Danio rerio: one gene and its partner. The protein of the gene in region 1 interacts with the protein of each later gene in a biochemical or structural test. Links are inferred from orthologs where the notes say so. Each region holds a gene or a part of one and is shown on either strand. Other genes may lie near its edges.

Evidence for each region. The genes of interacting proteins can lie anywhere in the genome.
Region 2: the proteins of rad51ap1 (region 1) and dmc1 form a complex in vitro, tested with the Homo sapiens proteins (2 studies listed by BioGRID and IntAct). The link is inferred for Danio rerio from reciprocal best matches to the Homo sapiens genes RAD51AP1 and DMC1.

Annotation. Positions count from the first base shown.
Region 1 is NC_133179.1:5,639,974-5,644,492, reverse strand, and holds the start of rad51ap1 (RAD51-associated protein 1), read left to right. Parts: upstream 1-1,497; 5' UTR 1,498-1,841; exon of another isoform or gene 1,842-1,898; intron 1,899-3,719; 5' UTR 3,720-3,896; intron 3,897-3,980; 5' UTR 3,981-4,081; coding exon 4,082-4,134; intron 4,135-4,519. UniProt on the Homo sapiens protein: Structure-specific DNA-binding protein involved in DNA repair by promoting RAD51-mediated homologous recombination.
Region 2 is NC_133187.1:21,020,572-21,025,134, forward strand, and holds the start of dmc1 (meiotic recombination protein DMC1/LIM15 homolog), read left to right. Parts: upstream 1-1,660; 5' UTR 1,661-1,860; intron 1,861-1,969; 5' UTR 1,970-2,077; intron 2,078-2,316; 5' UTR 2,317-2,317; coding exon 2,318-2,374; intron 2,375-3,083; coding exon 3,084-3,128; intron 3,129-3,204; coding exon 3,205-3,351; intron 3,352-3,459; coding exon 3,460-3,542; intron 3,543-3,859; coding exon 3,860-3,912; intron 3,913-4,027; coding exon 4,028-4,069; intron 4,070-4,160; coding exon 4,161-4,233; intron 4,234-4,341; coding exon 4,342-4,433; intron 4,434-4,563. UniProt on the Homo sapiens protein: Participates in meiotic recombination, specifically in homologous strand assimilation, which is required for the resolution of meiotic double-strand breaks.

The DNA.
Region 1 (4,519 bases):
GCTGTGGTGACCCCTGGTAAATAAGAGACTAAGCTGAAGGAGAATGAATGAATGCTGATATAAATTGGTGAGCGTATGTGAGATTTCTCCTGAAAACATTTAAAAGCAGCTTCTGACCTACAAAATTGCTTGTTTAGTCATTTTAGTATTATTTTCTAACAGCACCCAAATGCTCACACAGAAGATCCTGCTTTTGTCTCTCCAGGTAAAGACTCGCTTCAAGAAGTTCCTCAAATCCTTGTTTCAGCGCATGTTAGAGGAGCACGGCTCTGCGTTGAGCTCTGCGCCATCGGAAGCAGATCAGCCTGTGATCGCTGGACTGGCAGACGATGGAGCACAGAACGTACCCGTCCACGCTCTGATGGTCAGTCACGGGGCGTTTATCCGCGTATCTGTGCGTCATCTGGTGGAGGATCTGCAGTGCTGTCTGCCCGCAGGTCTTAAGATGAACCAGGTGTTTTCTCCATGTCCAAACACTGGCATCAGCAGGTTCATCTTCACCATCCATAGGGAAGAGAGTGTCCTGCGGGCCACACGCATACAGGGGGTCTTTATCAACAGAAAAGACCACCTGGAGGAAGTCAAAAACTCTGACTGACAGGGCTCACTAAGACTGCTTGATTTGACAGTTTGTATTGCAAACCCAGCAACTGAAGCACATTACAAGTCTGTGTGTTTGATTTTATCATGAGTATTATTTAAATGCAGTTTTGTGAGCTGGCTGAACGTAAACACTCATAAGATGTCTTTTTTGATGTCGTCCATTATTTAAGCACTTTAAAGTTGCACCACCGCAGTTTTGGCCTCTATATTCACACGTAATGTGTACACGTATTCGTTTTCATGCAATAAAAGAAATGCTGAAACTTGAAATCAAGGAAGTTTGATTTGTTTTTGGATTTGTAAGTTAGTAGTAAGTATTTTCCCTTGGAAATGTATACTTTGTGTGCAGAGAAAATATTTGAATGTATTGAAAAGTGTATTGAAATGAATCAAAGTATGCTTGAAATAAAAAAAAAATGGACAGTCAAGTCAGGGAAATGGCGTAGCATATTTCTCACAGTTAAATTAATCATTTTAATTTCTTCTTTTGTTAATTATTGTTTTTAAAAGTGAAGCTAAAGCAGTGATTTTAATGTGAGCTTACAATCACTTAAGATAAACAACAGCATTGTTCATAGACTACTAGCACTTTTAAAAGCAAAAACTATTCATGTATAATTTAGTTATTTTGCTTCTTTACTATATTTATCTAGATTTAAGAATGTTCAGTGTTTACCAATGTGTTTACATGTCTGTGATATAAAATTATATTAGCCTAAAGTAGGCCTAATTGAAACAAAAAAACAAAATATTGAATCAAAAGTCCTTACCTTGGCCATTAAATTGATGTTCTGCTGTTGTTCACCATAATATTAGCGTAGCAATTCTCTCCGACTCGCTCAGAAATTGAAGGTTAAAAACAATACGTCATAAAAAACAACATGTGACGTAAATACACACTTCGTTTGCTGAAAAAGTAATCACGTCAGCGGTCGGAGTGCGTGAACGCGCATGGCAAATTAACGGTCGATGAGTTCAGAATTTTCGCTAATAATACATCAAATTGCGTTTTATTTTTTACCATATACGCTCAGAACACTTGAAATTAATGGATTGTGTCGTGTATGACCATCCTTTAAAACGTTTTATCAAAACTATAGTCATGGACGAGAGCGAGCACGACGTTTTAACTGAATTTTCAAACATGTAACGTTAACTTAGCCTAGATAGTGTGCTTTGTCTGCTGTTTTTTTTCCACAGAGTACAGAAGGACATGACTTGTCTTGAAAAACACCAAGGTAAGTTAAATAATGTCTGCGTTTTATATTTTTTGGTTGACGTTCATTCATTCTTTCATTCAAACTTTATTTATAAAGCACTTAACCACCAAAGTGCAGTAACGTTACAGTCTAACGAGTTAACGAGTCAGATATACGTACACACTATGCACACTATTTAAAACAAACATAAAATCAAGTGCCAAAGGTTAAGGGAAAAGATTTTGAGAGGTTTTGAGATGGGATATGAACAAAGACAACGTTTTTGATGTTATTATTATTGAATATAAGAATAATAACATCACTGCATTGAAGAAAAAAATAATAACAAAAAAACAAACAAACAGAAAACAATACAAACTTTACAAAGCCTCAATTTTTAAGAAAAAAAAGATTATCATAAGCTTTAGGAAACTTATTTTTCTTATTATTAATAATAAGAGATTCAGTTTCTGCAAGTAAAAGTATTAAATCTAGGGACTGCCTTTAGAAACTTATTTTTGTGTGAAAAATATTAAGAGTGGAACAAATAATAATAACAAGAAGATGGAGAGCATGATCATTGCCTGAGAGATACAGAAATATATCTTTTATAGACAAATTTAAATCATATTTAAATAAGGACGATAAATAAAAAATCTTATTCCAAAGACGTGAGTGATTGAGTGCAACTATAGAATAAGTGAAATAAAGTCTCTTCATGTTTATTACAGAAAGTACACAAATTAGATAGTTCAAAATAAATAGCAATTTGGGAATTTGTAGGATATACATATGAAAATCTTAAAATGTATCTCTCTTTGTTGGACATGCTGAATTTTTTAGGTAATAACCATGCTCTCTTCCATTGAATGCTGTCAGAGGAATTGGCCCAGAAATATGTACATCTTTGGGAGGTATAGAGTAATGTAACAATCGTCTGACATGTCGGTTGTCACATTTTTTTTAATCAAAAAAAGAATCTCCATCCAAAAAAAAAAAGTTTAGGTGTAATTGTTTTCCCCTCATTGAAGTAAAGAAACATTTGAAATAAATTCACATAACTTGACATGGCGGCGCAGTAGGTAGTGCTGTCGCCTCACAGCCAAGAAGGTCGCTGGTTCGAGCCTCGGCTGGGTCAGTTGGCATTTCTGTGTGGAGTTTGCATGTTTTCCCTGCGTTCGCATATTCCTCCGGGTGCTCCGGTATCACCCACAGTCCAAAGGCGTGGTACAGGTGAATTGGGTGAGCTAAATTGTCAGTAGTGTATGAGTGTGAATGATTGTGTGTGATTGTTTTCCAGAGATGGGTTGCAGCTGGAAGGGTATTTGCTGCGTAAAGACCATAGACTGTAAAATATAGGTAAAGACGTGCTGGATAAGTTGGCGGTTCATTCCGCTGTGGGGACCCCGGATTAATAAAGACAATAAGCCGAAAATAAAATAAATGTGTGAATGAACTTGGTGACAAAACTATATATAACACAATTGAAGGTTGTGGCTGGCAGACGGAAATTATACCATAAACTCATAAACTCCTCATATTCCAGAATATTGCCATAATTTTTTTAATTAGTCCAAAACAAAAACAAACCACCTATCAATAAAAAGAGATTTCTCATGAATTAAGACTTTAAAGTTATTCCTAAGTATTTCTTTGTGTGGGGAAAATAAACAAAGACAACGAAGGAGCCAGTCTAATGGAAAGTGACGTAATGCATATTAGGGTATACTATTTTCAATTTCATATTTTATTGGATTATATCGATTATGCGATGGTATGTATGTGTAAACCTATTAGTGATCAGAAGGTAAAATATCAAATGTCCATCATAAAAATGGGCATTTGAAGATTGTATTTATATTGATCGTCAGATCCTATGATTTTAGGCTAATTGAATTGTGTCTCCTCATCCAATAGATGGCGCTGTGCTACTGACCTCTGGAGGACAGATGTGCCAACCTGCTGATGGGTAGGAGAATGGGACACGTCTTCTCTGCCGCCCACTCCAACAGGAAACATTCACCATCTTTGGTCCCTCATTTTCTCCGGCGAGGGAAACTTAGTGATCTTCTAAGGCTTGTCATTTTCCTGCCGGTAAGTGGGCGGCAATTTGGTTGAGTTGGTCACGCAGGGGACCTGGACGACTCAAAAGCACTGACTGACGTCCTGCAATCCAAGCAGACGATAGACTAGTTTGTGGCCACACATTCTTCAACTCCTCCAGACGATCCTAAAATATCTGCTCAGACAAATCACATTTCTTACATGCACATGTGTTCATGCTGAAGCTGCCAATGTGCTCATCATCAAAGCTCTGCAGCAGCAGCTTCAGGTATGTTATTGTCCAATATGTTTGTACACTCAAACAGCTGCTGTGTCCATAGACAGGAAAAGGCCACTTCTATATAAAACCCTGCAGTTTTATTTAGTTTCCACAGTTTAGACACCCAAACAAAGCCACGTGCCCACAATGTTTTGTTCTGCTGCAGTTCCACTTAACTGTTTGGTTTGTTTTTCCCAGCGGGTCAGTCTGATCCTCCAAACCCAACAATCAAACTAGACAAGTGTAGACTTGATAAGACCACCAAACAATATTACACTTTTTTTTTCGTTCATGTCGGGAAACCTGTTTTTAATTATCATTTTTACTTGAAATCGTATCAGTGATGCCATACTTTTTAAAGAGTTTGATCAAGGGAAAACAAAAAACTTCAAAA
Region 2 (4,563 bases), on another chromosome or scaffold:
TATGTGTGTGTACTGCAAACTGAATCAGAATTTGTGTGTGACTCATCAAATGACCAAATATCTCTGTTTCTGTGACTGACTGCTGATAACCTGATGTGATGCAGCAGGAGTTGCAGACATGCGGGAACGGTGCAAAAAGAACCTGCTGATATGTGCAATATGCAGTAGTAGCCTAAGTATTGCAAACTACAGTTAAAGTCAGAAATTCCCTAAATATTTCCCAAATGATGTTTAACAGAGCAAAGAAATTTTCACAGTAGGTCTGATAGCATTTCTTTCTTCTGTAAAAAGTCTTATTTGTTTTATTTTGGCTAGAATAAAAACAGTTTTAGGGTTTAGTAATTAAAACCATAAGGTCAAAAGTATTAGCCCCTTTAAGCTATATTTTTTTCTAGTCTACAGATCAAACCATCATTATAAAATAACTTTCCTAATTACCCTAACCTGTCTAGTTAACCTAATTAACCTAGTTAAGCCTTTAGAAGTGTCCTGAAAATATTTAGTCAAATAATATTTACTGCCATCATGGCAAAGATAAAATAAATCAGTTATTAGAAATGAATTATTAAAACTATTATGTTTAGAAATCTGCTGAAAGAATCTTCTCTATATTAAACAAATTGGGGGAAAAATAACCAGGGGGTCTTTTAATTCAGGGGGTTTAATAAATACTTCAACTGTACATATTTGTCTTAATATTTTGTTTAAAATTTATTTATGAAGTAAATAAATTTCAGTTCTTGTTGTTTGAGTTTCCCAAAACCTTTTTTGAGTCCTTTGCCACCAAATATATACATTTCGAATAAATATTTTTTTAAGACTCACAAATAAAAAAGCTTTTGTTGCATTCAAAATAGTTTATCCAGCTGACATTTTCTTAGTCATTTTTCTTAAAAAAAAATTTTACAGTATAACAATTAATTATAAATTATTCCAATCTTTATATAAAGCTGTGCGGCACTGCAAAGCACTGTGGGTTTGTAGTAGTGGATTGGTTTGTGCTGGAAGGAGACCTCAAGCTGCAGCAACCTGATTCATCCTGTGGAGATCCAGTGGGGAAGAAGGAAGTGGACAAAATTAAGGTGGAGGACAAGAAGGAAGAAAGAGGAGGACGAGATGGAGGATACAATAATTGAGAAGGAGTAGGTGGAAGATAAGATTAAGAAGGAGAAGAAGATTAAAAAGAAAATGAATGGAGGGAAAGGGAGAAGAAAAAAGGGGGAAGATAGAGAAGGCAATGATAGAAAAGGAGGAGGTGGATGACAAGATTAAGTAGGAGGAGAAGATTAAAGAGAAGAATGATTGAAGGAGAGGGTGAAGGAAAAAGATGAAGAGAAGATGGAGGAGAATGATGGAGAAGGAGGAAGTGGATGGCGATTAACGAGGAGAAGATTAAAGACAAGAATGATTGAAGGACAGAAAAGGAAAAAAGAAGAGACGATGGATAAGGAGGAGGTGGATGACAAGATTAAGGAGGAGGAGAAGTTTAAATAGAAAAAGGATTGAAGGAAAGGGAGAAGGAAAAAAGAGGAAGAGGAGATGGAGAAGGATGGAACACAATGAGAAAACAATAAAAATATATTTATTCAACAATGTACTTTATTGTGTCTGGTGTTGTGATTATTTCCTCTTTATGTATAATTTAAGTGCTAAAAAATACACACATGCTGCAAAGCTGAAGTATTCGTCATCATACCTTTATTTAATTTTCATGCTTATAGTTGTGTTTGTTTAATTATCACCTACCTTTGAAATAAAATCTTTCCTAAACAAGTTTCAAATTAAAATGTAACATTTTATCTGTAACAATAAACCTAAAAAATTAGTTTGTATGTTTTTGGTCAATTTTTGTCATTAAAGGTAAAACAGAGATATTTTAACAATTTAACAACAACAGTGTAAAAAGCAGTTTAAAACGACATTTATTTATTTATTTATTTATTTATTTATTATACATTTTTTTATGTAGCAAGCTTGCTTGGGCGCGGGACTGATGCGCGTGCACGCCGAGCCAAAGTGTCAACATACGATTGTGGCGCGAAATTTCTTTCAGCTTCTTCTCAGGAATAAACGACAGGTAAAATGTAATTTCTGTTCTAAAAAAAATTAAAAATAATTAATTAACAACGTTATGACAAGGAACAAGACACATTTTTTTATCACAGCGCTTCAACAAAACGTACATGTAAATTAGCCGGTTTAGCCGCAAGTTTTAAATGATTTATGGTAAACTTGTTACCAAATTACGTGGTTAATAGCATGCCAAATCACAGGTATTTTATTATAACTTAAACGTTCTTTTTGTCTCATTCAAAGTATGAAAGTTTTGGAGGAACAAACTTTGGAAGAGGAGTCGGGATACCAAGATGATGAGGTGATTTACATTCATTTTCAGGCAGCCACAGCCCATTCAATCGTGCAAAAACATGCTTTTTTATTTAACCGTGTTAGGTCTTGTGTTTATAAAAAATATAACATCATAATGGTGCATAAAGCAAAACACTCATGTCAAAACCATAAAATACAACTGTACAGTAAAGTGGTGTACAGTTCTAACACAGCCTAAACATTAAATGGAATAGTCGTTATTAATACATATTAGAGGTATCTCTTTTTTTACTTCATAATTCAGAAAAAGACTGTAACCAGTAACAACAATAAAGTATTGTAGAATAAAATACTGTTTATAATCAGGCTAATTATGAGCACATCGATCTGTTAAAACCTTCAGATTAAAGATATGAATAAAACTAAAGTTGGTTAAAATGAATGCTGCTAAAGTGGAGATTTATGGCACAGTACAGAAGAGGAAAACTCATTTTGATTGACAATATTGAAATTGAAATCCACTGCCCAATGAAAAAAAAATGTGTGATAAAAGAAACACTCACATTGTATTTTGGCTGTTATCTTTACATAAGACTGATAAACACTTTATGAAAACCCCAAATTCTCAAAACTGACAAGCACATGATTTTTTAACCTACAGTTTCTCAACTTAAATCTGAAAATCCCCACTTGTTTTTTATTTATTTGTTGTTTCTATGTAATGTGATGAACATTTGCTATCAAATCTCTTCCAGGAATCCTTTTTTCAAGACATTGAGCTCTTGCAGAAGCATGGCATTGTAAGTAAAATGTTGTTATTATGAAGTTATGAAATGATCATGAAAGTGGTTCTCACCCATAATGATCTTTCTGAAGAACGTGGCCGACATAAAGAAACTGAAGTCTGTAGGGATTTGTACGGTGAAAGGCATCCAGATGACCACACGCCGTGCTCTCTGTAACATAAAGGGACTTTCTGAAGCTAAAGTGGACAAAATTAAAGAAGCCGCTGGAAAGTTGCTGGTAATTTGATGTGTTGGTTGACATGATTTATATATTTTTTGCTGTATTTTGTAACTACTCATCGATCAAGGAGGTTGTAAATGTAATATGTTCTGTTCATTCATGCAGACATGCGGATTCCAGACAGCATCTGAATACTGCATCAAGAGAAAGCAAGTGTTTCACATCACAACTGGCAGTTTGGAGTTTGAGTAAGAAGCTTTATAGGTCTTACATTTTTAGACACCAAATTTTATTTGTGGCTAGAATTTGTTTTTGTGTGGTGAACTGAACAATTTAAGTATAATCTACAAAACTGGCAAGGTAAATAAACTGAAATATGTAAGTTTTGGAGGACTCATTTACTCCAATAAACTGAGGCAAAGAGTTTACTTTATTCATTTAGTTCAGTCAACTTATTAAGGTTTTCAGTGTACAAGCAGTAACATGTTGTTTTATATATGTTTTCCGATGAAAGTCTTACATTGTTGACATGAAAGGAGAAACGGTTTATTCATATTTACTTTAGCAAACTCCTTGGAGGAGGTGTGGAGAGTATGGCCATCACCGAGGCTTTTGGTGGTAGGGTGATGTTTTGATTTGAAACCATAATGATATGTTAGGCATTTTCCGTACATCACTTCTGCCAAAATGATATGTTTTTGTCTTTGTGAATTGTTTCCCATGCCTCATTTAGAATTCAGAACTGGAAAGACTCAGCTCTCACATACTCTGTGTGGTAAGAATGAATCTTGTGTAAATGTTAAATGCGGAATTTAATTCTCATTTTTAGACCATTCACATCATTTTGTTTTCTTTTTTCCCTTCAGTTACTGCTCAGCTTCCTGGGGAATTTGGGTACACAGGAGGAAAGGTCATCTTCATTGATACCGAAAACACCTTGTATCATTTGTGCATTTGCTTGCTGTGTGTGAGTGATTCATTTTACTAAATCCATTTCATATGGAGAAGTCATTCTGAACTTTTTACCTTAATAATTGTGAACATCAGTCGGCCTGAGAGGCTGAAGGACATCGCTGACAGATTCAATGTGGATCATGAAGCTGTTCTGGACAATGTGCTTTATGCACGTGCGTATACCAGTAAGAATAGCTGCTACTTCTTTGTTTAGTTTTTGTGTGTCATTTTACTTGAGAATCTATTTGGCTAGACAAAGAGGAGCCACAAAATGTGTGTTGTGTGTTTTGTTACAAATCTGTCTCTATTTTTAAT